7 linked regions of the Cricetulus griseus genome follow. The protein of the gene in region 3 interacts with the protein of the main gene of each other region in a biochemical or structural test. Links are inferred from orthologs where the notes say so. Each region holds a gene or a part of one and is shown on either strand. Other genes may lie near its edges. The genes, in order: Zfyve9, Wwp2, Smad3, Lef1, Smurf2, Ski and Tgfbr1.

Region 1 (4,488 bases), on a different chromosome or scaffold from region 3:
TAGGCTCTCTTCTTTAGAGGAGGATTATATAAGTGCACTAGTGAAATTCAGAGAAATTTCACTCAGACAAGGGATGGTGAAAATGACCTTTGATGAGGAACACACACACACACACACACACACACACACACACACGGTAGGGGGAGTGAGGTGGGACAAACAAAAACAAGCTGGAGATTAAGAATGACTAAGTGTTAGGATGTTTTGGAATTAACAAAAATTGGAACCATAGGCCAGTCCTTTCATCCCTAACCTTCACAACCAGCTAGGCAGGCAGAAGAAAACAGGTTCAAAATATTACATAACTTTCCAGGGTCATAAAACTATACATGATGTAACTGGGACCAGTGGTATCAGGCTCTGCTTGGCACCAAAGTCTTTGCTTTTTCTAGTATTGCACTCAGAAGAAACAAACAAACAAACAAAAACACCGTACTTGGGAATTTGGGGGACCAAGGGCTTTAGGAATTTATTTCTTTCCCCATTTCTCTTCTGACAGTCTTTTGCTTTTGGTTGTGACATTAGTGCCCTAGAAGCTGGGCAAAATCAAACAGGAGGCATTTGTAAACAAAATTATTGCATAGCCCTCCATATACCCACAATGTCCCTCTTCCAGAGTCTTACCTAGGATTTGGTTAAGGGGTGGGTGGTGGTGAAGTGGTAGAGTAGAGGTGGTGGCCAGGGCTAGGTTATTAAAAGGATGGTTCTTTTCTTACCTTTAAGTTGTTTATCAATTTCAGGACAACACGTTGCTTATTCTCTTCTCTTGGGTCAGCGTTTTATTTATTCTCTATTTTCGGGAGGAAGGTTAGGGGTTAAGGGATTCTGTAGCAAATTTCTGTAATGAATCTGCACAGTAGCCCCCCAAAAGTTAAGATTAAAGATCATTCCTTTATCTGTTTTGGGAAGGGATTTTGCATGTGCTTAGAAAAAGATAAAAGGAAGATTTGTTCTGGGTCACTCTCCTTTCATGCCAACGCACTGAGGGGATTAAAAGGAACCCCCTGTCTTCCATGAGAAATGAACCGAGATTCCCTCACGTTCCCGCTCTCGGGTGCGGGTCCGAGTGACAAGAGCATTCACATACCTTCCGGAGGGAAGAAAGGTGCTGGGGTCTGACGGGGGTGGGGTGGGGGTGGGCCGACAGCTTCCGGCTCCCGGGAAGCCGCGTTAGGGCGGGCCGCGGGCGCGGGCGGCGCAGGGCGCACGGGGCCCAGCCACCCGTAGGCCGCGCTGCCTTGCGTTCCCTGCCGCCGTACTCGCGCGGCCGCCGCCGCAGTCCCGGCGCCGTAGGGACGTGGGTCCAGGGGCGCTGTGGCCCGGCGGCGCGGGAGCTGGAGCGGCCACCGCGGCGCCCGAGGCTTCGCCGAGCCCGTCTGCCTGCAGCGCCTCCGTCGTCCCGCCGTCGCCTGCGCCCCCGGACGCGCTCGACCGCGCTCCCCCGGACCCGCGTGGCTGAGGCGGCCCCGGAGCCGATGCGGCTGGAGGGGCGCCGGGCCTCGGCCTCCGCCGCAGCGACCGCAGCCCCCTCAGGAGTGCGAGGCTTCGCGGCGGAGCCCTGCTGAGGAGGAGGAGGCTTGCGGCTCAGGGACGACCCCCTGGCCATGGAGAGGCGGTGAGTGTGGCGCGCCGCGGTGCGGTGCGGTGCGGGGCTCGCCGGCTTGCGTCGCTCAGGGGCCCTGGCGCCAGCTCTCGGGCCGGGCGGACGGAGCGTCCTGGCACTGCGGCCGCCGCGGGCACCCCGCAGCCCTGGGGCCTCGGCCCTTTTTCCAAGGGTCCCCCGGGAGGCTGGAGGCGCGCGGGGGACGACTAGGCCCGGTGCTGCGGAGAAGCCCTTGCCCGGGCCTGGGTTCCGGCGCGGCCGGGTATGTGAAGACCGGGCTGGCGGCCGCACCGGTGCCCTTCGCGTTTGTCCCGGGCGGGGCCGAGCGTGCCTTCCTTCCCAGGGCCCTGCTTGCACATCCCGGAGGGAGGGAAGGGACGCTTGTTTGCAAACAGCTTTGGCTTCTCTGCGGCATACCGAGTCCTGCAGAGCCACCCCCTGGGTGGGGAGTGGTGAGTATTGAGGTGCAGAGAGTGCGGGTCCCCGGAGCCCCTGATACTCCAGGAGTAGCATTCACGCCTCTCCTCCTAGAGACACAGCGTTTTGCGTCTTATTTGAGGTGAAATTTCATCACTTGCCGCTAGCTCCTCATTTCCTTCTTATGTTACATCTTGTCTCTGAGCGAGGTCTGCCTTGGAGAAAGCCCCATCCCATCTTTGCCATGCTAAGTTTCCTAGCTAAGCACTCACAGTTCAAAGAAAAAAAAAAAAAAACCTTTTATGAATATGTCTTCTCCCACCTTCAAAGAGACAGGAAATGTTTTAATGCTTCAGTCCTTGGTACAAAAATGTTCCACCTAAATAAGGAACGATTGGCAAGAGAATTTTAAGTCGAGCTAATTATCCTAATAACAAGGACCTGACGAAAATGGGGTAGAGACTCAATTGTAAAAGGAAAATGATTTGTTCTGGTAGTAATGTAAAAGAAATTAGTGTTTGTAGTGTGATACCACAAGTCAGTATTGGGGTGGTGCTTGTTTAGGATAAATGTGATTACAGGTTATTCTTATTCTCCTATTATATAGGGCTTATATGTACATCTAGAACTTTGATTCATGAAAATATACTGTATATATAGTAAATTATTTGGACACAGAGAGGTTCTGTATCGGCGTTCAGTACTTATTTAATAACTAGAGAGCGATTACTGATAACGTCATAGTACGTTTTGATGGTCATTCAAAGTTTAAAGTGAGATCGTGGTGATGGTGACTTGTAAAATTATTATTGGTCTTAAATGAAAAATGCTGACTGGTCCAATTTACAACCAGGCATTTGTTTAAAAAATATGAAATATGTTACTAATTACCGGAGTTAAAGCCATTAGTTAACATGGGTTGTTACTTGTAAGACTCCTGACTTAACTTTCCTATACAGCATGGGAATCTCCAGAGGTCTAAGGAGGTTCAGTGTGGTGAAGAATTTTGAGGATCCCTTATGTTAGGTGTTGTAGCTTTGCCTTTGTCAGATCTTGTGTAAGCATTTCTAACTGTAAAAAGTTGGATTGATTAGATATTTTGGTTAATTTAGGTCTTAAAAGTCGAATTCTTTTCTCATTGTGTCTCTGAAGACCAATATTAGAATCAGTTGGGAGTGCTGATTAAAAATTCGATTCCTGGTCCCCTACATCAGAATTGTGGGTATAACAGTAACTCAAAGATTGTGATTTTTATCAACCTTCCTGATTCTTAGTACTACTAAATGTGAACATTACTGATAAAAGTTAAAAGAGATTTGCTTAGGTGAACAAAAGTACCAGCTTTCTAGCAAAACTATCTTCAGTGGCTTACAGATGTTTTGCATAGCAACAGTTAATGGTTTTATAATGCAGATAGAAAAACTGTGTTTTGAGGGACAGCTGTTTCAGTCCACAAACGTCGAGAGCCTGTTACAGTAATGTTAAGGCTATCAGAGCATTCATCTTGGCAATTAATAAATTTCAGTATTGTCTGTAAAATGCAGTTGGTATACTTAATTTGGAAGGTTTTAGGAGACAGCATTTGAACAAAGTATTGTAATATATAAAAATTTTATACAATTTTAGCTATTAGTAATGTCAGGTTCTGTCTTAGGTGTTCTGGGAAATACAAAAATTACAAGGCTTCTGATAGCAATTAGCTAATTGTGGAAGCAGTACAAGTTTAATTAACTGTTACAAGACAGGGTCAGAAAGTTGTTGTAATTGAGTAAAATGAGCTAGATCTCTCTCTGCTCAGGGTTTCTGTGTCTCATCCAGTATCTTGCCCTTCAAGGGATGGGAGGTCACTTGGTGGAAGAGGACTTGCTTAGAATGTACAAGCCTCTCGGTTTAATTCCCAGAATTGAGAAAAAAATTCATATGTAGTATTCCTTTCTTTTGCAATTCCTGATTCAGTGTTTTCTTTAAAGAAATAATGGCATATGTTGCCTGGAAAGCACTAGTTTTATATTAACTCCTTAGTGAAGAAAGAAAAAATGAATGAGTAGGGGTGGTCCCATTTCTTCCTCTGTTGCTAAGCTACCATTTTTATTCCATGCACTAGAGTTTATTGGCTACTCTTATGTGCTGGCCACAGATTGGCTGGTTGCAAGGTACAAAACTTGATTAAAAGATTATTGCCAAGCCAGGTGTTGGTGGCGCACGCCTTTAGTCCCAGCAGTTGGGAGGCAGAGGCAGGCTGATCTCTGAGTTTGAGGCCAGCCTGGTCTACAAGAGCTAGTTCCAGGACAGCCTCTAAAGCCACAGAGAAACCCTGTCTCGAAAAACCAAAAAAAAAAAAAAAAAAGATAATTGCCTAGATTTTAGTTTAAGGTTTTTTTTTGTTTGTTTCTAGGAGGTGGTACATATGTGTTTTATGATTATTAATTACATTGCATGCTTTATAGTACGGAGATGGAGTCAGATAT
Region 2 (3,059 bases), on a different chromosome or scaffold from region 3:
TCCTGGCAATGGCTCTAAAAGCGGCCACATTCTTCCTGGGGCTAGAGACCTGCCTGGCCCAGCAGCAGACAACGACAGACCAGTGAGACTCTTAGACTATTACTCACCACTGGCTGCCAGCTCTCGCCAGCCTCAGTGTCTGCATTATTTTTGGCCTCTTGTGCTACCCACTCAGAGTGCCAGTGAGTCAGGGCTGCCACCTGGAGCTGTTATGAACAACTTTTCCCTGGTAGTGGGGGACAGGCCTTTGCTAGAAGGGGGAGTGGCCTGGCCAGTGTGCTGGGCAGACAGTGGGCCTGCTTTGCTTGTCCCTATGACTTTCAGGATGGGATAAGTCTATCCCTATGCCCAAGTCAGAAAAAAGGTGCTTGTTTCCCAGGCCCCCCCTTCAGCTAGGGCAGCTGGCTTTCAAGGGGTATCCTCTCGGGGAGGGCAGCTGACACCCAAAGCACTCCTGATCTGCCCCAGGTGCCATCCAGGGAAGTGAAACCCTTTCTCTGTGCCTCTTCCTTGCCCAGGCTCTGTACCATGGGAAGTTCATCGACACAGGCTTCACCCTTCCTTTCTACAAGCGGATGCTCAACAAGAGACCAACTCTGAAGGACCTAGAGTCTATTGACCCTGAGTTCTACAACTCCATTGTCTGGATCAAGTGAGTCCTGGCTTGCCCTGCTCTGATGGAGCCAGGCTCTGATTGGCCAGTTGGCACCCTGACCCTGATTTCCTCTACCATCATCGTCGGAGATTCCTGGGTACTTACCTGGCCTATAGAGATAAGAGTTTCTAAGTCCCTTATAATACAGTTCTAGAATTCTCTCTCTGCAGCAGAAAATGTGCCAAGCCACTGTGCCTGGCCACCTGTGAGTTCGCAGTGCCTCTTGGGTGCCTTAGTAAGGGGCAGGTCAAGGGTGGACCTTGATAAGATGGACATCTTCCCCCTTGGTCTCCTGTGTCCCAGAGAGAACAACCTAGAAGAGTGTGGCCTGGAGCTGTTCTTCATCCAGGACATGGAGATCCTGGGCAAGGTGACAACCCATGAGCTGAAGGAAGGTGGTGAGAGCATCCGAGTTACAGAAGAGAACAAGGAAGAGTACATCATGTGAGCCTCAGGCCTGGGGGAGGGGAGCATGTTACAGAGAAAGGGAATCTACCCTTGTTTTTGTACCTTCTTTGATCAGGCACCACTATGGGGCCCATAGTCTCCACAAACTGCAACAGTATCCTAGGTGCATTGGCCTTGGCTGGTCACATGATTTGAGCTGTGGACCTGGAGCCTCTGGCCTTGGTTACCAGCTCCAGGTTGATCTTTCTATGTTCAAGAGACTTCCCAACTTCAAGGAACTTTTTAAAGAAATAAAAAGCTTAGATGTTGCGGTTTCTCCTGACGGAGGATTTCTGTGTCCAATGTATTTTAGTCTTCCGGCCCTCCAGTGCTGATGTGTAAGCCTTCCACTCACACTCTTTAGGCTGGCTGGTCTATTCCATTAAACCATACAGTTGTGTGAGTCTGAGGCTCAGCGGTTAAAACAGTGCACCAAGCAGGGTGGCCTGGGCTCCATCAGTGGCTTATCTTTGGTTTTAGGTTGCTGACTGACTGGCGATTCACTCGAGGTGTGGAAGAGCAGACCAAAGCCTTTCTGGATGGCTTCAATGAGGTGGCCCCTCTGGAGTGGTTGCGATATTTTGATGAGAAAGAGCTGGAGGTGGGTGCCAAAAGTTGTGGGCCCTTGACTTCAGTGCTTCTAGGCTGCTCCAGATCCATGCTGTGTACCCACAAAAAGTTACCCACCAAGCCCCAAACTTCAGCAAGCTAGAGGCAGCAGTGCAGCTAGTGTCACCTGACCTCAGCCCTATTTCCCTGTGCTTAGAGAGCAGGGGCATTAACATTTCTGAAAAAAGTAGCAGGTTGACAAAGTTTAGGAGTGACCTACTGGTGAGAGGAGGCAGTACCATGTGGGCATGAAGCAGTGCCAGGGGAGGGCTTGATGCAGGCTTGCTGACATATCCCTCCCTACAGCTCATGCTCTGCGGCATGCAGGAAATAGACATGAACGACTGGCAGAAGAATGCCATCTACCGGCACTACACCAAGAGTAGCAAGCAGATCCAGTGGTTCTGGCAGGTGCGTCCTGGGCTCTGTGTCTCCCCTGTTAGCCTGGGGTCAAGGGTCTTGCCAGGGATAGTTCCCAGTTACCCAAAGGACATGAGACCTACCTAGACACCAGACATAAGAACCTTTCATCTTTGATCCATTCCTCCCCGTCCCTACTTGGAAAAGTAGAGGATAAACCTATCTCTAGTCGGGATAGAGGTTGTTGTGTCTATATTGTTTCCAGCTTATGTGACAGAGGTTGTTAGTGTGCTGGGAGCCAAGGGGACTCACGTCCAGGAAGTTCAGCTATGATTGGCTGTGTGGTCTCCTCCAGTCAGATGGGGTGAGAAATGAAGGCACATGTGTCTAGAAAAATGGAGAGCATGCATGGGAAAAGATAGCTACAAACATCCTTACATGTGTATGTGTGTGTGTGTGTTTTATGTAAAGTTTTTGTGAAGGTGTACTTCACATGGCATGCAATTCACCATTTCAGATATTTCAAGGTGTCCAGTTCAGTGACTTTAGCTCTTTGAGTGTGCTGTGCAATTAACAGCATTATTCAACTCCAATACAGTTCATTGCTCCCCAAACAAATCCTTTTTCCCACTCTCAACCTTAGAGTGTCTGTAAAAGCAGAATGTGGGGGAAGGGCGAAGGATGTCAGGCCCAGGGTGTCCCTGAGACCAAGCAGTGTCCCTGGACCCTTGTGGGATGTTCCTGATTCGTATCTGTCTTCCCTGCCCAGTGTGGCCCCACCAGGCCTGGAGATGTCCCTGCTAAGTTCTGAAGTGCTAGGCTAAGGGCACCCCTGATTCCTTGTGAAATTGTAGGTAGTGAAGGAGATGGACAATGAAAAGAGGATCCGGCTACTGCAGTTTGTCACAGGAACCTGTCGCCTGCCTGTTGGAGGATTTGCTGAACTCATTGGTGCGTTTTTTTTCCATTGTCCTCTTGGGACCTTGGC
Region 3 (4,395 bases):
TTGGGGAGGAATGAGCCCAAGGACATTTCTGGCAAGCTTGTTATGCACCTGTGAGAAGAGCTTTTGTTTTGCAAATTGTGTCAAAGCTGCCCTTTGCGAGGCTAGGCCCAGGAGCAATACCTCAAAAACAAAAGCAAAACAAAACAAAAACCTGGGTTTAAATCCTGGCTCTGTTCCTTGGGGTCATGCCTCCCAGGCAAATATGGGCGTGGACTTTGAGGGCAGCAATTAGACTGTCTTAGGTTGAAGACAGCAGTTAAGACCGCCTCCATTTCAGTCTCTTGGTAAGGGCTGGGAAGCCGAGTGGAAGGGGAGGCTACAGCCACACTCCAACAGGAGTGCAGGACCTAGCTTGTTAGGGTCCACTGGGCCTCAAGAATCAATCCTCCTCCTTTCAGGACTTGGCTTCAGGGAGGTGGAAGGAGACACCTAGGAAACCACAGCCTCTTGACAAGCTGTGGCTGGCGATGGGGCACCCTCGGTGACAGAGCTGGGGGCCCCTGAAGCTTCTGGGCTGACTTTGTGGGACTGGCCACACTTCATAGGTCTTTGTAACTCCCACCGGCTCTTGGTTTGCAAATAACTTCTTTCTCACCACCGTCGGTGGTGGTGGGGTTTCCCACTGTTTAAAACAAGCATAGTCCTATACCTACTGAGTTAACCCGATGGGATTGCAGCCGCAGGGTAAAGGAGCTGAGAGCCTGCTGTAACGCCTCCAAGCCCGTGAAAGGACCATGGGCAGCCAGCCCCGAATTCCGATAGTTGGGCCCCAGGGCTACCCAAAGTCAGGTTCTCTTGGTGTCCTACCTAGGCTAACTTTGAGTAAACTTCGTTCCACTTTGTATGTGCGAGTTCACTGCTTTGTAAACAAAGCTCTCTTGCTTGTTTGGCGTCGAATTTCAGTAACACCCAGCAATGTTAATTCTTCCCCTCCCCCAAAGATAAATCCTAAAGCGCTCCCATTCATTCCTTAAGGAATGCAACAGATGTCTTTGAGGCCCGTTTTCTGCAAAGAGCTTGGTTCACTAGGCCCAAGGGACCCCAGGCTCCAGCTATTGTTCAAGTTGTCACTGAGGTCTCTAACTCCACTTTTAAGTCTCCCTCTCCCCCTTCCCAACTCCCTCCTCCGCAGTCTCCGGGCAGTCAGTCGGTCTGATCTCACCCAGCGGGAAAACAAAAACAAAACAAAACAAAAAACACCAAACCAAAGGAAAACAGCCGGGGCCAGTGAGCGAGATCAGTGCTCCCCGGCTTCCTGGGCTTGGAACTGAACCCCTCTTCTTGTCCCAGTACTCTCCAGGGAGCAGCGAACCCTAGGGGTCCCGCGCCTGTTCCGGCGAGTCTAACACTCTCTAGTCCCTGCAACTGCATCTGAGCGTCTTGAGGGCGGCGAGTCCCCAAGAGTCTGGTCCCGCGGCCGCCGTGCCCGGTGGCCCACGTGGGCGCGCTTGGCGGCGCTGGGCGGGGAAGGCCGCGGGTCCTCCCCGGAGCTGAGCGCGGGGGAGGAGCGGGGAGCCCGAGCGGCGAGGGGGCGGCGACAGCGCTGGGAAGAAGCCTGCACGCGGAGCTGCGTGAAACGTAGACTTGGGAGCGGGCGGGAGAGGAGCGGGGAGCGCCGCTGCACGGCCCTGGCCGGCCCTGCGAGGCGGCGATCAGCGGGGAGGAGGAGGAACAGGAGGAGGAGGACTGCAGAGGCGGAGGGATCTGCTCACCAGAGTCATCCAGGCCAGCAAAGTTTGGCTGGGGGTTGGACTTTCCTTCCCGGAGGCGGCACCCAAACAGCTACCCCGTGCGGAAACCCAAACTTTCTACTGCCACTCGGAGTCTCAGCGGCCACCGCCTCCGCCCCGCGCGCCCGGGGCCTGCCCGTCAGTCCGTCGGTCCTCGTGGAGCTACTCAGGCGCCACCGTGCTCCCGATCCCCGCAGCTGGAGTGCCGCGGCCCCGGCCCGGACGCCGGGGCAAGTTCTCCAGAGTTAGACGCGAAGTTCGGGCGCGGCGCAGGCCGAGCTGCCCCTGTGCGCCCCCGGCGTCCCCAGTGCGCCCAGTCCCGCCGGGGGCGCCGGTGACCCTCCCGTGCCAGCCATGTCGTCCATCCTGCCCTTCACCCCTCCGATCGTGAAGCGCCTGCTGGGCTGGAAGAAGGGCGAGCAGAATGGGCAGGAGGAGAAATGGTGCGAGAAGGCGGTCAAGAGCTTGGTGAAGAAGCTCAAGAAGACGGGGCAGCTGGACGAGCTGGAGAAGGCCATCACCACACAGAACGTGAACACCAAGTGCATTACCATCCCCAGGTGGGGGCCGGGAGCGACGGGGGGCGCGCCGGCCCAGCCCTCTAGGGCGGCCAGGGTGGAGAGGGGAGGGCGTGTGCGTGTGTGTGCGCTCTAGTGTTGGGGACAGGCAGTGGGTGGAGGGACCCCAAACAAAACCTTCTTCGGATTTGTCCAGGCTCAGAGCCCAGGCTTCCATGCGGCACTCTGGCTTCCAGACCTCAAGGATCCCTAGCCGCCTGTGGGCAGCAGGGGTGCTGCTGAGCTTGGCCCCCCACTCTCTGGGCTTTGGGCTCCAAGTAGAGGCCCCGCTTTGTTCGGCTCTGCCGGCCGAGCCCCTCCTCCGCCGCCGCCTCCCGCCCCGCGCTCGTGGAGGTGGTGGCGTGTGTCCCTTTCTTTTCTTCAGCTCTGTTCCCCCACTTCTTTTCCTCGTCTACAGGAATGCAGTCGGTACAGCTGTGGGTGAGGAGCGGGAGCCCGTTGATTGACAGATTCCTTCTTCGCTCTTTCTTTGCCTTGGGATTAGCATTTTTATCGAGTATTTTTAGATTTGGTTGTGCCAGCCTCCCGCCCCCTGTGCACGCATGCACGCACGCACTTAGTTGCAGAGCAAAGCACCGACTTTGAAGCGGGAGAAACAAGTGGCAGAAAGTACGGTCATTCCCTCTTCCCACCCCACGCCTGCCTGGTATGCCTTCATTTTAATTGAGAGTTTGCGGGTGCCTAGAACCGAGCAGGCAGCTCCAGACAGATAACAAAACATCCCAGAGCTGGCCTCCCTCTGTCCCTGCATTCCTGTAGAGACCTCTTTTCCCAAAACGCTTTGCCATCTGTCCTGACCTCCTTTATCCTTCCCATCGGGCTAGAGGAGTCCGGCGGGAGCTCACAGATGGCTGATGGAAGGGGTCAGTGACTTCACTCCCAGGGCCTCCCAGAGCATAACTGCGCCTGGGATGAGGGCACTTTAGCCTTCTGTCTCCACTTCTCAAGACATCTTTAAAGATTGATTCCAGAGGAGGGCAGGTGCGGATGTTGCGGGGTGGGGGTGGTGGTGGGAGGTGGTGGTGTCCCAAGCTGCAGAGGAATGGAGAGAGAGCTCCCAGGGCCTAAGATAGAGAGGTCATCATTCTTCCGGGCCAGGGTGGCCTCCATCCTTGGCCACCTGCTCAAGGCAGCTGTGTGTATGCTGCCAGCCCTAACAGTAAGGCGCAAAGCAGCATCTGTCCACAGGAGCCCAGGGTCGGCCTTCCCTGGAAATAAACACCACAGACGGTAGGGATGCCTGCTTAAAAAAAATAGCCAAAAAACAAAACCAAAAACAACCAACCCCCAAACCTGGTTGGGATCAATAAAGGGGGAGGCGAAGGCAGTTGTCTGGGAAGAATGCTTGGCCTGTGAGCCTCTGCCAACTGGCTTTAGGGGGGTGCTGTGACGTGATGGTCACAGGCACCTGGGTTTTAGCTCCTGCTCTGGCTCCTCATTCTTCTTTATCCTTTTGACGAAGTGGAGTGGCTGAGTCTCAGGTCTCTGTCAGATCCGGAGAAATAGCCTTTTCCTAATACGCCTGGGTGCAGCCACACTGAATACTTTATGTTTTGAACCCCCTCAAGTGATATCAATTATGAAGCAGCTGGGCAGAGTGTTTCACAATTTACAAGGCACTGTCATAGGCCTGATGAAGGCCTGGAAAACAGAACAGGCAGCGAGGTCTAAAATGATCTTGCCTTTCAACCAGACAGACCTTCACAGGAGATAGGGAAAAACCTAAGACTGGGGCTAGCATACCCTTTCTCCCAGACTGTTGTGGACTCTGAGAGCCCAAAGCATCCTTATCCAGGGAGGGTGGTGGATCTCTGCCTGGAAGGTTCTTGGTTCATCTTTGGGCTGGGGTCAGCTTAGAGGAGAGACTGTGCCTTCCTTGGCCTACATTTGCCTTCTGATCTTGCTTTCACTTGCAGCCCTTCCCAGTCCCAGGCAGGTGAAGGTTTGTGTGCTTCTGAGAGTTCAGGCTAACCACCTCCACTTCACCCAGGTCTTCCAGGACTAGGCATCTTCAGACTGCACAAAGAAGGTGGTGGGTGGGAGCAGGGTTTTTGTTGGTTGGTTCTTTGGTTGTACTGAGGATTGAA
Region 4 (3,840 bases), on a different chromosome or scaffold from region 3:
CACACTGACAGCGACCTAATGCACGTGTAAGTAGACCCCGCCCCCTCTTCTGTTGTGAGATTCCATGTAGCTCAGCCTGGAAGGCTCTGAGAACAGGGGCTTGATTCTGAGACTGGAAAGGACTATCCGAGTAACAGTTGATGGACACTCACCAGGATGGAGCCCTGGTCTAGATGTAGAGGGATTGTGATCTGTAGACCACTTACCACCCCAGACTTTCCTTTAATGAAGGACAGAGTGGTGCTCGGTGCACATCATTCTGGAAATGCAATTGCCCAGGTTGGAATTCAAGAAAAAGTGGTCATCGAAATCAACACAGAATTCAAGAAAAGGTGGTCATCGACATCAACACAGAATTCAAGAAAAAGTGGTCATCGACATCAGATTCCCTATTGGGCCAGCATTGGCTCAAACTTGTAGAGCCAGGCTATATTACCTTGTTATGGAGGAATTAGAAACTCTGCCTCTTAAGTCTGTGGATGACAAGGGCAAGGCAAGCAATGTATAACAGCCCATAAAGATCTTGAAAATATATTCAAATGAAATTAATTTGGTGAGAAGGGTCAAAATCTCACTGGGGCTAGGGAGCCAGGTCAGTTGTAAGGAGCTTGTCTTGCATGAGTGAGGACTTGAGTTTGAACCCTAGTATCCTTGTAAAAAAGCCAGGTGTAGTGGCACATGTCTGTAACCCCTGCACCAAGGAGGCAGAGACAAGAGGAACCCTGGGGCCAGTGTGGTCCCTAGGCCAGTGAAACACCCTTTCTAAACAAGCAAACAACCAAGATGGATGTCAACTGAGAATCAACACCCAAGGTTGTCCTCTGATATACTGTCAATCACACACACACACACACACACCCCACGCACGTGTGCTTGGTGGGAGGGGCTGGGGGAAAGTGCTTGCTTTTCTCAGTGTCCTTTAATCCCCATCCCCCAAAGTAAACATCCATTGCAGTAGAAAGGGAATGCTTACCTGTAGTTTGTGTGCAGCTTCTTTGGAGGTGACCAAGGGCCTCAGCTTTGGGGCTCTAGTTGGAGCTTTCTCAGAGTGAAGGAGATTTAATTCAGGGTCATTGTGTAAACGAAGAACCCTGTGGTTTGATTGTTTGCAACTTGGGTTTTCATCAGAGGAGCCACACGCTGTTGTTGGTGTCCCAGGGGCTGGGAAGGGTCATCCTCACATTGAATTTGGCAGTGTGAACAGATGTTCTCTCCCGTCTCTTCCCTAACCACCGCCACCTTTCAGGAAGCCCCAGCATGAACAGAGAAAGGAGCAGGAGCCAAAAAGACCTCACATTAAGAAGCCTCTGAACGCTTTCATGTTATACATGAAGGAAATGAGGGCAAATGTCGTAGCCGAGTGCACGCTAAAGGAGAGCGCAGCTATCAACCAGATCCTGGGCAGAAGGGTAAGGAACGGGATGCGGGAACGGTTATGGCAACCATGGCACGGCTTCATTAAAGTGTGCTGAGACTAGTTACACGTCAGGTGGTGTGTGTGTGTGTGTGTGTGTGTGTGTGTGTGTGTGTGTGTGTGTGTGCGTGCACACATGCGCAATTTTGTTTCTGGGAAGTAGGGCACAAGGTACACTGATCGGTGTGTTATAAACCATTTTGACTATGCCTGGGACATAGGAAACTTCCAGGAACTGATAACTGCTTTTGCCACCACTCTGTATGTCAAGTATCTTTATTTGTCTGTGATGATGCTTGGTAACAGTTGCTGAACAAAACAGCCACATCCCTTGCTTTCTTGGAGTATGGTGTTTTGTGGCCAGATATAGATATTAGCAAAAAAAAAAAAAAAAAAAAGAAGAAAAGAAGAAGAAGAAGAAGAAGAAGAAGAAGAAGAAGAAGAAGAAGAAGAAGAAGAAGAAGAAGAAGAAGAAGAAGAAACTAAACTTGGTAGTAAATACAGTGGTTGTGATTAGCAGGAATATGCAAGAGAATCACAGAGGCCAGCAAAGGCCCTTCTGAGGACATTGAACTTACGATGAGACCTGAGGGACATAGCCCTTAGGGGATAGATGTCCCCAACTGGAGTAGTGTGGGGAGAGGGGTGAGGATTGGCAGCCAGTCTCCACAGAAGGAGCTATAGTAGGGCTTCTGGGAGACCAGCCCAGAGGAGAGAGGAAGCCTCACCTTCCCAAACAGAAGCAGAGCTGTAGGGACTGGAGAAGTCATGGTTGTTGTTGTGGTGGTTGTTGCTGTTTTTTAAGACAGGGTTTCTTTGTGTAGCTTTGGAGCCTGTCCTAGAACTTGCAGAGATTCGCCTGCCTCTGCCTCCTGAGTTCTGGAATTCATTCTCCCATTAAAGCCCACAAGTGCTGTTTCTGGGTTGTTCTTTTCCCTTGCATCCCTCCATTAGTCCATGCTGTTACAGTTCCTCACCCCTTGTCATATAGGGAGACGCTAGACTATAACCAGGGTTTGGGAACTCTTAAAATTCCTTCTCCGACAGCTTTCCGAAAGACTAGCCATTCCTTCCAACCGCTTTCCCACAGGATGGAAGAGGTCTTAGCCAGGTATCTGCAGAGCAGTAGGGCAAACTCAAGTTCATCCAATTCAAAAGTTACCTTTTTGCTGACACTGCATTACAATTTATTAGGAATGCTTCATTTTTATGTACCAGTCCCCCCTGTGTGTGCTCTGTTTAGTTTATGCCCCTGTATATGTGTTTTTGACTTTTTTGTTGTTGTTTTGTTTTGTTTTAAGTTCAAACAAGGTAAGGAGGCTCTAGCCACCTCTGGGAAGCATAGAGAGGATTGTGTGTTAGCTGCCATTGATGACACAGTAATGTTCTCCCTACTCAATCCATTAAACATTCATAAAGGCATTTAGGAGGCCGGCAGCCAACACAGAACACAGAAGCAGGCCTTGAGTTATGGACTCCCAGTGGAGAGCCTCAACCCGTTGCTAGTTCCAATCTGTGAGACACAGAGCACTCGAAGCCTGGGCACAGTGGCAGATTATACTCTGTGGTGTTCTGTGTGCAATGCCCTATCTCCCTATGGATTCTTAAACACTTAATAATGATAATTACAGTGATTCCCAAGCCAGATCTCAGCGCAGGAGTGATCCCACCAGCTTCGAAGGGCTCTACCTTAAAAGCCTGAAGGCTGGTGACCACTTTCTCCAGCAGAGGCAAAGAGGGATTGAAGTTTTGGGTTTTTTGTTTTTGTTTTTGTTTCTTGTTTTTTTAATTCCAGCTCACATACCTCTCTTAGCTTTTTCCTTTTTTTTTTTTTTTTTTTTTTTTTGCCTTTGAGTCAGATGTCCCCTGGCCCCGCAGCAGGAATTATTTTCCTGCTCAAGAGGGTGAGGATATGATCTTTGAGGTATGCTTCCTCCTTTTAATGCACATTTCCAACAATTGCTACTTTCTCGGCTCCCTGAACGGTCCCCAGACCCAAGCATGTGTGTCTTAGGGATGGTTCTCATTTGGGGTCTCTCTCTGTCTTTGATTTGGACACCTGTTTCTATTTATAGGCCTCTGGATCTTTGATTAGGATCAGGTTTTCTGCCCTTTGAGCACTCCCTCTGGTGGGGCCTCGCTTCTCGGCTCTTTTAAAGTTCTGGCTTTAAAAATCATGAAGTTTTACACTGGCGTGATTACACTGCTTGAAAGTGGATCTTAAATCCACCCCGGAACATTTTATCTTTTGATTTTTTTTTAAAATTCATCTGTACTGTCTCTAAAATAGAAATGCCCATTCCTATGGATGAATCAAAGTTTTCTTAATATGTATCATAAATATCAATGGCCCAAATCTTATTTAAAATAAACTGACTTGCCCCGCTGTTGTTTGGAGTCTGCTTACTACACATTTGCTACAACCT
Region 5 (4,267 bases), on a different chromosome or scaffold from region 3:
GAGAAAATAATTCATAGAAATAATGATTTAAAGCTGGGTGGTAATGGCTCATGCCTTTAATGCCAGCACTCTGGATGCAGAGGCAGGCAGCTCTCTGTGAGTTTCAGGTCAACCTGGTCTACAAAGTGAGTTCCAGGACAGCCAGGGCCACACAGAGAAACCCTGTCTTAAAAAAACAAAACAAAACAAAACATAAAACCACCACCAACAAAATAAACTGGTTTGAAATTCATAGCTGAGTGGCTGGAGAGGTGATTCAGTGGTTAAGAGCACTTGATGCTCTTTTCAAGGACTCCAGTGTGGTCCAAACTGGGAGACTCAAAAGGACGTGTAACTTCATCTCCAGCAGAATCCAATGCCCTCTTCTATAACTCTGCATGCACTTGCATGCACACATGTATAGCACATATACACATAATGAAAATGAATAAATCTAAGAAATTATGTGTAGTGAAATACTTTCAAGTAGTTCTCCAAAATGTATGTATGTGTTTAGATTTGTATTTGATACTTTTGCTTATTACAAAGTCCTATATTATCTTTTTCTTTTTTTAGAGATAGGGCCTTATGTAGACCATGTTACCCCAAACTTTTTATGTAGACTTAAACTTCAGTTCCTTCAGTCTTGGTCTCTCTAGTTCTGTGGATAGACATATACTACCGCACCTCGTTTATGTGGTGCTGGGGATGGAATCCAGGGCCCTGAATGTGCTACACAGGCTTCTGTCAATAGAGCTATAGTCTAAGCTCCTGTAATAACATGTGGCAATTCTAAACTGCTGCTGTCATGTGTCAGTGGTAAGGAATGGTGCACAGAAGCATATTTTTTGGAGCCTGGGCCAGCTTGTTGGGATTTCATTTAGAGGTGTTAAACTGGACTTCCATGTTAACTTTTTACAGTGCCAACGTAAGTTTGAAGAACGTGCAGAAAAATATGTTGGCTAAAATATTCTCTGTAACTTTTGAGTTACAGGAACAGTATTGTGAAAGTTTGTTTGTTTGGGAGCAAAGAAAAGAAGGATATCTGACTATCTCCCTCTACCCCCTTTGAACAGCTTCATTCCAGTGTGCATTGTAATTGGAATGCAACTGCAGTCTGGAGGAGGAAGGGGAATTTTTGGCAAGGATATAATGAGCAGTTGGGAGCTTTATTGAAATTAAGCACAGACAACCATTCATTATGAGTACAACTTACGAGAACAGCAGGGCATTCCATTCTGTTACCATTCTGTTACTACCGCTGGGCATTGCACTGATACTATTACAGATGCTTGTTGCAGGTAGGCAACTTCTTTCTAATAAAAAAAGAAACTAGTGACTTAACCCACAGTGTGGTAGCCGCCCTTCCACAAGTGTTTTTTCCAGTTACTACTTCAAATACATATAAAAAGATTTTTGTTGTTATTTTTGGAAAAAATTTAAAAACATTTCTTGCAAAAATAACAGAAGACATTTGTAGCCAATGTAGTGGCCTATTCCTATGATCCCAGCACTCAGGAATTTGAAGCAGGTTTATAAAAACCTGGATCTTGGTTTATAAAAAAAATATTTATTTTACTTTATGTATATGTGTGCATGTGTTGAGTGTGTGTGTGTGTGTGTGTGTGTGTGTGTGTGTGTGTGTGTGTGTAGGTATGTATGTATAGTGTGTATATGTAGAAAGCCTAGAGAGGTCAGAAAAGAGCATCAGATTTCCTGGAACTGGAGTTCAAGTAGTTATGAGGCACCTTGTGGATGATGCTGGGAACTGAATTCTGGTGCTCTGCAGGACCAGAGAGGTGCACTTATCCGCTGGTTCATTTCTCCAATCCCTAGATCTTGATTTTGAGCACAGCAGGGTTACATAAAAGGATTCTAATTTCTCCCTCAAAAAAAAAAAGGTATTTATGGTATGATAATTGAGTTGTATCTTTATCTGCAGAACCTATGATAGTACTTGGCATAAAGTGAGTACTCAGGAAATGTCAAATGAAAGAATGAAACTAGGCCTTGTGGCGCATGCCTTTAATGTTAGTACTCAGGAGGCAGAGGCAGGTAGATCTCTGAGTTTGAGGCCAGCCTAGTTTGTATGAGGAGTTAGAGGCCAGCCAAGGCAACTCAGTGAGACTGTCTCAGTAAAAAAGAATTGATTATTAATTGGTTTATTCTGTTCTCTATAAGCATATCAAGAAGGTTATACCCCTATCCATGTGAAATGTAGAGACATTATTAGCATACTATTCTATTAGTTACTTAAATCATAGCTGGGGCAGGGGCAACTTAAAGGAGGAAGGATTATTTTGGCTCTTGGTTTCTGAGATGTCAGTCTCAACATTGTATGAGGACTTAGTACAGCAGAGAAGCTCACATCATGGTGGGCCAGGAAGCAGAGCACAGGGACGGGGCATTTTGGTGGCTTTTCTTTTTTACCGCCAGTGTTCTAAGCTCATGGATTGATGCCAGCCACATCTAGTTTGATCTTTCTCCTTAATGAGTCCTCTCTAGAAACCATCTCACAAACATATACAGGTGTGCCCCACCTACTCCTAGGTAACTCTAAACCCAATAAAATTCACAATGGCGATTAACTATCATACAACTTTCCTTAATTTGGTTACCTTATTATTTCTTTAGAGGAGGTAGATGGACTAGCTAGAACAACTTTGGGAAGTACAGATTTAAGAATAGAAACACTTTGAGGAATTTGAGATGAATATTAAACATTATCAAAGTACTATAGCAGATTTAATCTGTATGCAGCTCTAGGCTCATTAGAGACATTGTCTCTAATGGACTTCAGTGGTAGTACTATAGTATTAATATGCTACATTTGTAGCTATCATTGATTAAAATTAGCACATAATTGCATAATATCTGAAGCTAGTGCAATGTGTTAATTAAAATTAGTGAAAATTTAATCAATCAGCATTTCTGTGTCCTTTGTTTATATTATTCCAATAAGAAGTTTACTAAATGTTAAAGATGGATAGGAGTAAGTCTGAACTATTGGCCCTCTCCTGCTATGTCACTCTTAACATTGTGTGTAAATGTCTCTCTTGAGAAACATTTAGAAAACAAGAATTAAACAGTCTTGGTTATATTTTACATAGTTCTGTTACCAAAAAATGATAGATTAAAAACATATATACAAATTCCTCAGAAACATACTTCCTTAGGCAAAGGTTGCATAATAATAGTTGCATAATCAGGAGTTTGTCATATTGAAATTCATGAATTCTTTGAACGGTTATGGAGTAATTCTCCCATAATTAATGTACTGAAGATGGAAAAAGCCAGAGAGCTGTGGTTCTAATCTCTGAAGTAGATTTTCAAGAAACAAGAGCAGTACAATGAAGACTAGAGAGTATGAAAATAATTTACTTATACAAGTGAATAAAATTACCATTTTCAGATCACATATTGATAATCCTCCCTTTCAGAGTTACAAATATAAGATGTTGCTTTGAAAGCATTAAACAGTATATATAAAAAGCACTTACAAAAAATCAGTTGGGGGGGGCTGGAGAGATGGCTTATCGGTTAAGAGCACTGACTGCTTTTCAAGAGGTCCTGAGTTCAATTCCCAGCAACCACATGGTGGCTCACAACCACCTTGAATGAGATCTGGTGCTCTATGATGGCATGCAGGCAGAAGACTGTATACATAATAAATAAATAAAATCTTAAAAAAAAAATCAGTTGGGGGCTGGAGGGATGGCTCTTCTGTTACTAGTGAGTCCTGAGGACCTGAATCTAGTTCCTAGTACCCACATTTGGTGGCCCAAGATTGCATGTATCTTGAGCTCCCATGGATCCAACACTCTTTAGGCCTCCATGGACACCTATTGCATGTGATGCCATAAACTCATGCAGACACACAATACACAAACAAATAAATAAAAAACATTTTAAAGCTATTTGAAGCTGATGAGATTTAGTCCCAGGAATAATAATCTGGGGCTGAGGAGAAGGCTAAAGTTGGTAAGTGCTTGCTATGTCAGCATAATAATCAGAGTTTGGATTCCTGGCACTTTAGGGGAAAAAAAAAAAAAAAAAAAACAACAACAAAAAACAGGCACAGCACACTAACCTGTAATCTTAGTTCTGGGAACTAAGCCCTAGAAATACTAGGGCTTACTGGTGTCAGCTAGTCTAGCCACATAAGTGTGCTCCATGTCCACCAAAAAATAAGGTGGATAATGAGGTAAATACCTCACTTCAACCTCTGACCTCCATCTATATGCACACAAAATAATCATTTGACAGTCCTGATGTTTCTTGCTTTAAA
Region 6 (4,386 bases), on a different chromosome or scaffold from region 3:
GCGCTTGGGTGTGGGAGCTCTGTGTATTAGGTGGCATCAGTACTACACATGGAAACCCAGATGTGCTTTGGGCAGTCCTTCTGCACCGGAGGCCTTTGAGAAGAATCACCGGGTGATTCTTTGAGAGGTTCCGGTTGTATGGGCACCTGGATTTTTTTTTTTTTTCTCTCTCTCGTATCTTCTCATCATAAGGACAGCCTGTCCTGAGTATTTCGTGGTGTCCTTATGCAGGGACCTGGAATGCATGCTGTGGTGTCCTTATCATAGGGGGCCAGGCACTTCGGTCGTGTGGAGACGCTAGGGTGCTTTGAGACGCTCTTGTATCCAGACCCCAATGTTTTGTGGCATCCTTGTCATGAGGGGGCACCTGGGGTCCTTTTTATGAGTGCAAACTCTGGGGTGTCGCGTGGCGTCCCGGTCCTGTAGAGAACGACGCCCAGCAGTATGGGGAGTGGAGGCTATTTCCCAGTTATCTCCGTAGAATGGGGACCCCGGGACCTAAGGAGGCAGCGGCGCAGATCTACTGCGGACCGCCACTCAGCTGGTCTGCGGTTGTGGCAGGGGCCTTGTGGGTTTCGGGGCCCCAAGACCGTGGTGTCAGCAGGACCGGAGACTTCCCAGCCGCGCAGGAAGCGGCCTCGGCCGGAAGGGGGGCCCCAGGCGCCTCGCTGCAGCCGCCTCCAGCGGCCTTCACAAGGCGGGGCCGAGCGGGACCGAGTAGGGCCGAGTGGGGCCGAGCGGGGCCGAGCGGGGCCGAGCGGGGCCGAGCTCCGGCCCGGGGGACCCGAGCGGAGTCGAACTGTGGGCGGACGGAGCCGAGCTTGGCCGAGTACGGGCCGGGCGTAGCCGAGCGCCACCGAGCCCGGGAGGGGGAGCGCGCGTTCTTGGAAGAGCCGGCCCGAAGCTGGTCACATTCCTGGCCCTCACTCCGGCTGAGGCGGACGCACAGCAACAAACAACGCGGGAGGCGGGGCCGGCGCGGGCGGGGCGGGGGTACGGGGCGGGGCGCGCGGCGGCGTGAGCTCAGCTCCCGGCGCTCAGTCCGAGCCGGAGCGAGCCGCCCGAAAGATGTGCGCCGAGCGCGCCGAGCCCCGCGCCGCCGCCGCGCTCTGAGCCGCGGGCTAGAGCGCCTCCGCCGCCCCGGGGCCGGCGCGCGCGGGCGCGGGCGGCCGGGAGCCGGGCGGCCGCGCGGGCGGGCAGGCGGCGGGGGCCAGCGGCGGGCGCGACGCGGCCGGCCAGCACCGCGGGACGAGCCCGAGGGCGCCGCGCGGTGGGAGGAGCGGGGCAGCGCGGCCGCGCCGCGCGAGGACGGCCCGGCGGGCCCCGCGCCCGCGCCCCCGCTCTCCCCGGCCCCTCGGCTCGGCCGCCGCGGCGATTCGCGCCTCGCGGCCGGCACCTGCCGCGCGCGCCCCGCGAGCGCCCGGGCCGCGAGCGTTGGCGTTGGCGTTGGCGGCGCGCGCCGGGGCATGCCGCGCCTAGAGCCGCGGGGGGCGCGCGGGGGGCCGGGGCGGCGGCGGCGGCGGCGCGGCGCGGGGCGCGTGATGTGGCGCCGGGCCCGGGTGGCGGCGGGCTCCAGCGGCGGGACCCCTTCGCCCGCCCGCCTTCGCCTTCGCGCGCCCCGGGCGAGGCCGAGGCCGGGGCCGTGATCGGCCGTGAGCCGGCGACGGGGGGCGTCGGGGCCGCGGTCGCGGTCGGCGGCGGGGTGCGCGGGGCGGCGGCGAGGCCGTGGGGGCCCGGGCGCACGGGAGCGGCCCGGGGAGCCCGATCGCACCATGGAAGCGGCGGCGGCCGGCCGGGGCGGCTTCCAGCCGCACCCGGGGTTGCAGAAGACGTTGGAGCAGTTCCACCTGAGCTCCATGAGCTCGCTGGGCGGCCCGGCCGCTTTCTCGGCGCGCTGGGCGCAGGAGGCCTACAAGAAGGAGAGCGCCAAGGAGGCGGGCGCGGCCACGGTGCCGGCGCCGGTGCCCACTGCCGCGGAGCCGCCGCCCGTGCTGCACCTGCCTGCCATCCAGCCGCCGCCGCCCGTACTGCCCGGGCCCTTCTTCATGCCGTCGGATCGCTCCACCGAGCGCTGTGAGACCGTGCTGGAAGGGGAGACCATCTCTTGTTTCGTAGTGGGAGGCGAGAAGCGTCTGTGCTTGCCGCAGATCCTCAACTCGGTGCTGCGCGACTTCTCACTGCAGCAGATCAACTCGGTGTGCGATGAGCTGCACATCTACTGCTCGCGCTGCACCGCCGACCAGCTGGAGATCCTCAAAGTCATGGGCATCCTGCCCTTCTCCGCGCCCTCGTGCGGGCTCATCACCAAGACGGACGCCGAGCGCCTGTGTAACGCGCTGCTCTACGGCGGCGCCTACCCGCCGCCTTGCAAGAAGGAGCTGGCGGCCAGCCTGGCGCTGGGCCTGGAGCTCAGCGAGCGCAGCGTCCGCGTGTACCACGAGTGCTTCGGCAAGTGCAAGGGGCTGCTGGTGCCCGAGCTGTACAGCAGTCCTAGCGCCGCCTGCATCCAGTGCCTCGACTGCCGCCTCATGTACCCGCCGCACAAGTTCGTGGTACACTCGCACAAGGCCCTGGAGAACCGGACCTGCCACTGGGGCTTCGACTCAGCCAACTGGCGGGCCTACATCCTGCTGAGCCAGGACTACACAGGCAAGGAGGAGCAGGCCCGCCTTGGCCGCTGCCTGGACGACGTGAAGGAGAAGTTCGACTATGCCAACAAGTACAAGCGGAGGGTGCCCCGGGTAAGTGTCTCCAGGTCTTGGGGGTTGGCAAGCCATTTGTCCAAGGAGGGGAGGCGGTGGTCCTCTTGGGCTGGGCACTCTGGCTTCTAAATGTTGGGGCACCTGGTTCGACCTTATTTGGCTTTGGGTTGTTTTGATTTCAGGAAATTAGGGGCCTAGTTAGTCTCCTGTGGGTAAGGCCATAAGGCCGCCTTGGTGCTGTCTGAGCACTGTAGAGTGAATGGAAAAAAGCCCTCTCAGGACACATAGCCCTTGACCACATAGGCTACGCTCTGAAGGTCTGAGAAAGGCTGCCTCAAGCTCTGGGAGCTTGGACTTCCTGAAGAGAAAGAACCCAGGCTATGACTTTATGGCCCAGATCTCCATGGGATCTTGACAGATGAGAATGAAGTTTGCCCCCTTTTTTTCTGATGACAGGGATGTCTTCTTGTGGTTTCCAGCTGATACGCCTTGTATGTTTACTGGCTCTCTTGTTTTGTGTTTAAATCATGGGGCAAAGACACTAAAATGAAGCTAGCTAGTTGTCCTGGCAGAGACTTGGCACTTGCAGCCCCTAGAGTCTCCTGTTGGTGCACCTTGAGGACCACTTGGCCTGGTCAATGGTAGCAGAGTCTTGCTTCTCTGACTCAGAGTTGCTGATAGTATGCAGTTTCTTTAGACTCACCCATTTCCTTCTGTTGCTCTTGCACTTGGTGTGGAGGCCTGCCTGCCTAGGCTGTGCCGTGTGTGCGTCACGGGCTTTGTGGGATCTTCTTGGCATGACCCTGGCCACTTAGTACCAAAACCTTTCACTGGGGTCCAGAGGAAGTTTCTTTGCATATGCATCCTAAGTATCTGTAACTTTTAAATATCCCTGCTTATTAAATTGCACACACAGAATGCTGCATTGGCTCAGCTATTCTTGGGAGACCTAATTAATTCAGCTATTGCATCAAACTTTTTTTTTTTTTTCTAAATCTGTGAATAGATGCTGCAGCCCGGTTTTCTCTGGGCGCCCCTCCAGCAGAGTGTCAGAATCGTGGGGGGAAGGGGCTCTGAAGAAGGACCGTTGCCTAATTCTTTGGGGGCTGCAGAGAGTGTGCACATACTGTGTGTCCTATGGCACTTTTGCCCCAGCTAGGGCAGTGCATGATGGCAGGCGGTTGCAGGCGGGTCTTTTCAAGTGGACTTGGCAGTAGGCAGGCTGATGTGGGTCCTACCAGTGGAGGCCTATCTGGGCTGTCTGCACCCTTGTCAGCTAATGTAGCCTGAGGTAGTCATTTGAATATAGCGACTGGTGGACTTGCTGGGGCTACTGTAGAGATGTGGGACTAGTGAGGATGAGCCACTGGGAAGCATTCACACCTCTTATCTTGGGAGCAGGCAAGGAGTCTTGTCTGAGTTGGGTGTGTCTGTGTTTGTGTTTGTCTGCTTTGGGTCATGTGTGTTTGTGGTCTTTCTATCCAGGTTTAGGGGACTGCCATGGTCCCTTTGTCCCGGCCACTATTGAATGGAGTAGACTTCTGCCTTCTCTGTTTACAAGCTTGGTGATTCTGGTGTGGGGTCTTTGGGCTCAGAGGAGGTGGCTCAGATGCTCGTGCCAGCACTATGGGGTTAGAAGACAGGATAGTGCACTGAGCCATGGTCATGTGCCTGGGTCGTTTCC
Region 7 (3,840 bases), on a different chromosome or scaffold from region 3:
AAAATTTGAATGGTTTTCCAATGAAAATCTCAGAAGTCTGGAGATTTACTTAGAGATCAACAAACAAACAACTTTTTCACCTTAGTTTTTTAGTTCTTAGATTTATATTGTCTGAAGGTTTAAACAAAACTTCATCCCTTTTGACACAGTGATTCACTGAGGTTAGTAGTAGTTCTTATAGTTGTTATAGTTGATGTAGCTCAAGTGCCTTCATCCTGGGACAGGCTAAGCTTTGAGATCTAAAAGTAAATTGTGATTGGTGTCACTTGTTAAGCAGTCATGTCTAACTTTTGGTTTCCAATAGGAAAGCCAGCTATTGCTCACAGAGATTTGAAATCAAAGAATATCTTGGTGAAGAAGAATGGAACCTGTTGTATTGCAGACTTGGGATTGGCTGTGAGACATGATTCTGCCACAGATACAATTGATATTGCTCCAAACCATAGAGTAGGCACTAAAAGGTACACTTAGGAATCAATGGTGTTTAGTAATGCCTTATGTCAACTTCTTTTCTTTCCTATCTCTTCAGAAACTCAAACTTGGTCCTTTATTAGACTGTTGACACGCTTTTAGAGTCTTTGCTACTTTGAAACCTCGTTACCTAACTTAAAAATGAACCTGTTGATAGAGCAACCCTTCTAGAAAGTATTATCATTAACTAGGTTAATTGTAAGAGCAATAATGTCTTAGTTAGGGTTTCTATTGCTGTGAAGAGACACCATGACCACAGAAACTCTTATAAAGGAAAATATTTAATTGTGATGGTTCGCTTACAGTTCAGAGGTTCAGTCCATTATTTTCATGATGGGACATAGTGGTGTACAGGCAGACATGGTGCTAGAGATTTACATCTTGATATACAGACAGTAATAAGTGGTCTGTTTCACTGGGTATGGCTCGAGCATATATGAGAACTTAAAGCCCTCCTCACAGTGACACACGTCTCCAACAAGACCACATCAACTCCAACAAGGCTATACAACCTAATAGTGCCATTCCTTTTAGGGGTCATTTTCTGTCAAACTACCACAAATAATAACTAATAGTCATCTATAACTTGCTATAGTTTCTACTGTAGTAAGCCTGTTTTCATATTTTCTGTTGTCTTTCTTCCTTAGAACGTTTGTGTATGCTGCCCTTAAAACATACATCCCCCTTAATAGCACTCCTGACTCAAGGAAGCCTTTTTTGGTCCCCAGGACCCTTACATGTTCCTGGCATAGCACAATGATAAATGACTATTTGAGGGAGGCATTTACTTAACTGTTCTCACATTATATTCTAACTGACCATTTATGTGTCTGGGTCTGTGTATTCCATTGGATTGCAAGAAGCTTAAGAGCAGTTTTATGTTCCAGGTACTTGTTGAAATGCCAAATACACTTTTATATTTGCATTCATGCGTTCTCAAAAGAACTTCCATAGATAGGTGTCGTTACTATTAATTCAACCACCTTGTTGGTTAAATAAAGTAACCCACTTCATGTGGCTGACAAGCTGATATGGACTCAAAGTCTTACTGTGTTTAAAAAGCACTCACAACCTTTCTTCACAGCTAATGTCTTGAACTTGGAGAAAGCCAGCAGCTTTAGTCAATCCAAATATAATTACACTTTCTGGGTTCCAGGGGGACTGGCTGAGGGAGCCTCAGTAGTGGTCTGAAGGACCTGTAGCTGTAGTAGGATTTTAGAAACTATAGAGCTGGGCAGTGGTGGTGCACAACTTGATTTCCTGTACTTGGAGGGCAGAGGCAGGCCGACTTCTGAGTTTGAAGCCAGCCTGGTCTACAGAGAAACAGGACAGCCAAGGATACACAGAGAAACCCTGTCTCCAAAAACAAACAAACAAAAAAGAAACAAACTTCAGAACCCAGTAATTGGTAATGTAGCATCATCATGACTGACATTCCTTTTATCTGTTTGTCCCTTTCTTCTTTCCTGTTTTTTTTTTTTTTTTTTCTGTTTTGGTGAGGAGGCTTCCAGATTAAAATATGTAGTCCCTAAATAGTAGATGAGGGTGATGTACATTAGGGTATTGGTAACAGCCACAGCTGTTCAGTGTGTGCCTTTTATAAACCTTCATCAGAAGGCAGATGGCATGGAGCTGCCATTTCAGCATTTCATGAGATTTAGTCAACATCATTAATTTGCAAACCAGTTTAGATACTTAATATTTGCTTGAGCCTGATATGATCTCAGTTATGTGATAGTTTTGTGCATGTTTAAGGAGGTCTGACCCATGTTAACACTTGTGGTAAGGGGGTGATTTTTTTTTCACCTTGTACTTTATATACTTGGGAAGTTTTTTTTTTTTTTAATAGGAAGAGTGAATCATTTTTAAAAACAGAACTATAATAAAAAGAGAAGTTTTCTTGGTGTGATAGTGTACACCTTTAATCCAGACCCTTGGGAAGCAGAGGTAGGTGTTTTTTTTAGCAGCTTAGTATATATAGTAACTTTTCACGGGGGCTTCATAGTGAGACCCCATGTGTCTTTTTACCAGAAGTAAAAGACAGTGTATGAGACAGTAATTAATATGTTTTGTAGTGGACTGAAATGCTGGCTTCTTTTTTAGGTACATGGCCCCTGAAGTCCTAGATGATTCCATAAACATGAAACACTTTGAATCCTTCAAACGTGCTGACATCTATGCAATGGGCTTAGTGTTCTGGGAAATTGCTCGGCGCTGTTCCATTGGTGGTAAATCGCTCTCCTTTCCCCAGTTATCTGTCATGAGAAATTAGTCAAGAGTTTTCTTTTCTCTTGACTGAAATTTTACTGTCAGCAGTCTGACAGGTGACCACTGAGAATGTCACAGGAACAAAAGATAAACCTCACCAACACACAGCTTTTATCCAGAGTCATGTTCTGTTGCTATTTAGTCTCAGAGAGTGTCAGAACCTAGCTTCTTGTTATTTTGGATTTAGTTGTTTGAAAGGCCACCTGAGAAATTGCTTTTAGTATGGACTCAGCTACATCTTTTTTTTTTTTTTTTTTAACACTGGTTGTTTTCTCCAGCTTGATTGTTGAGGATCCTTAGACATATAATGACAATTGCATTATTAATGTTGCGTACTTTGTAGATTTTGTTTTAACTTTTGGTTTTATATTAGACTGAGAACTTGTCAGTGTTTGCTCAGACACTGTCTCTTAGGCTTAGGAATCTGTGTGAGACTTAGAACTTGAAAGTTTGAGACAGTGATGTATAGAGTATGCTTGGTGTTATAGCATAGGACATCAGATTAACAGGCACAAGCAGAGGAAGGGACTTGTGGGATTCACATCTCCTAATAAGAGTATATCCGCATCTTCTGTCTGGTGGAGTTGTAGTCAAGAGTGTCAGCCTGGTTATCACAGCACACTAGGTTCAAAATGGCCTTGATTTCTTTTCCATTGCTGTAGTACAATGCTCCGGCAAAGGCATTCTAAGGGAGGAAGGGCCCGTGGTTCCAAGTTACAGCTACCATAGAGGGAAGTCACAGTGGCAGAAGCTTGAGGGAGCTGGTCACATGACATCCACAGTCAAGCAGCAGAGAGCAGTGAGTGCATGCTGGTGCTCGGCTTGCTTTCTCTATTTATACACTCCAGGATCCCTTGCCTATGAAGTAGTACTGCCCATAGTTAAGATGTGTCCTCCCAATCAAAATAATCCCTCACAGGCATGCCCACGGGTCTGTCTTCCAGGTGATTGGTAGATTTTGTCAAGTTGACAACACTATCCTTCACAAAAATTGCAAGCCCAGTGATGACTCAAGTAGGTGGGTTATTGATGCAGATGTGGGTGAGATACATAAATTTGTGAACCTCACTTCACCTACTGGATGTAGAGATGGGCCACAGT

The links.
Region 1: the proteins of Smad3 (region 3) and Zfyve9 form a complex in vitro, tested with the Homo sapiens proteins (2 studies listed by BioGRID and IntAct, with this or other methods). The link is inferred for Cricetulus griseus from reciprocal best matches to the Homo sapiens genes SMAD3 and ZFYVE9.
Region 2: of the proteins of Smad3 (region 3) and Wwp2, one has a biochemical effect on the other in vitro, tested with the Homo sapiens proteins (2 studies listed by BioGRID). The link is inferred for Cricetulus griseus from reciprocal best matches to the Homo sapiens genes SMAD3 and WWP2.
Region 4: the proteins of Smad3 (region 3) and Lef1 form a complex in vitro, tested with the Homo sapiens proteins (2 studies listed by BioGRID, with this or other methods). The link is inferred for Cricetulus griseus from reciprocal best matches to the Homo sapiens genes SMAD3 and LEF1.
Region 5: the proteins of Smad3 (region 3) and Smurf2 form a complex in vitro, tested with the Homo sapiens proteins (2 studies listed by BioGRID and IntAct, with this or other methods). The link is inferred for Cricetulus griseus from reciprocal best matches to the Homo sapiens genes SMAD3 and SMURF2.
Region 6: the proteins of Smad3 (region 3) and Ski form a complex in vitro, tested with the Homo sapiens proteins (8 studies listed by BioGRID and IntAct). The link is inferred for Cricetulus griseus from reciprocal best matches to the Homo sapiens genes SMAD3 and SKI.
Region 7: the proteins of Smad3 (region 3) and Tgfbr1 form a complex in vitro, tested with the Homo sapiens proteins (2 studies listed by BioGRID, with this or other methods). The link is inferred for Cricetulus griseus from reciprocal best matches to the Homo sapiens genes SMAD3 and TGFBR1.

What each region holds. Positions count from the first base shown.
Region 1 is NC_048595.1:41,017,058-41,021,545, forward strand, and holds the start of Zfyve9 (zinc finger FYVE domain-containing protein 9), read left to right. Parts: upstream 1-1,485; 5' UTR 1,486-1,615; intron 1,616-4,488. UniProt on the Homo sapiens protein: Early endosomal protein that functions to recruit SMAD2/SMAD3 to intracellular membranes and to the TGF-beta receptor.
Region 2 is NC_048596.1:183,884,867-183,887,925, forward strand, and holds part of Wwp2 (NEDD4-like E3 ubiquitin-protein ligase WWP2), read left to right. Parts: intron 1-518; coding exon 519-652; intron 653-958; coding exon 959-1,099; intron 1,100-1,582; coding exon 1,583-1,703; intron 1,704-2,017; coding exon 2,018-2,122; intron 2,123-2,925; coding exon 2,926-3,022; intron 3,023-3,059. UniProt on the Homo sapiens protein: E3 ubiquitin-protein ligase which accepts ubiquitin from an E2 ubiquitin-conjugating enzyme in the form of a thioester and then directly transfers the ubiquitin to targeted substrates.
Region 3 is NC_048597.1:175,281,535-175,285,929, reverse strand, and holds the start of Smad3 (mothers against decapentaplegic homolog 3), read left to right. Parts: upstream 1-1,584; 5' UTR 1,585-2,084; coding exon 2,085-2,290; intron 2,291-4,395. UniProt on the Homo sapiens protein: Receptor-regulated SMAD (R-SMAD) that is an intracellular signal transducer and transcriptional modulator activated by TGF-beta (transforming growth factor) and activin type 1 receptor kinases.
Region 4 is NW_023276806.1:27,723,342-27,727,181, reverse strand, and holds part of Lef1 (lymphoid enhancer-binding factor 1), read left to right. Parts: coding exon 1-26; intron 27-1,246; coding exon 1,247-1,409; intron 1,410-3,840. UniProt on the Homo sapiens protein: Transcription factor that binds DNA in a sequence-specific manner. Participates in the Wnt signaling pathway. Activates transcription of target genes in the presence of CTNNB1 and EP300.
Region 5 is NC_048600.1:119,827,255-119,831,521, reverse strand, and holds the start of Smurf2 (E3 ubiquitin-protein ligase SMURF2), read left to right. Parts: upstream 1-1,165; 5' UTR 1,166-1,180; coding exon 1,181-1,280; intron 1,281-4,267. UniProt on the Homo sapiens protein: E3 ubiquitin-protein ligase which accepts ubiquitin from an E2 ubiquitin-conjugating enzyme in the form of a thioester and then directly transfers the ubiquitin to targeted substrates.
Region 6 is NC_048595.1:1,092,008-1,096,393, forward strand, and holds the start of Ski (ski oncogene), read left to right. Parts: upstream 1-1,574; 5' UTR 1,575-1,772; coding exon 1,773-2,741; intron 2,742-4,386. UniProt on the Homo sapiens protein: May play a role in terminal differentiation of skeletal muscle cells but not in the determination of cells to the myogenic lineage. Functions as a repressor of TGF-beta signaling.
Region 7 is NC_048595.1:96,014,146-96,017,985, reverse strand, and holds part of Tgfbr1 (TGF-beta receptor type-1), read left to right. Parts: intron 1-304; coding exon 305-461; intron 462-2,574; coding exon 2,575-2,699; intron 2,700-3,840. UniProt on the Homo sapiens protein: Transmembrane serine/threonine kinase forming with the TGF-beta type II serine/threonine kinase receptor, TGFBR2, the non-promiscuous receptor for the TGF-beta cytokines TGFB1, TGFB2 and TGFB3.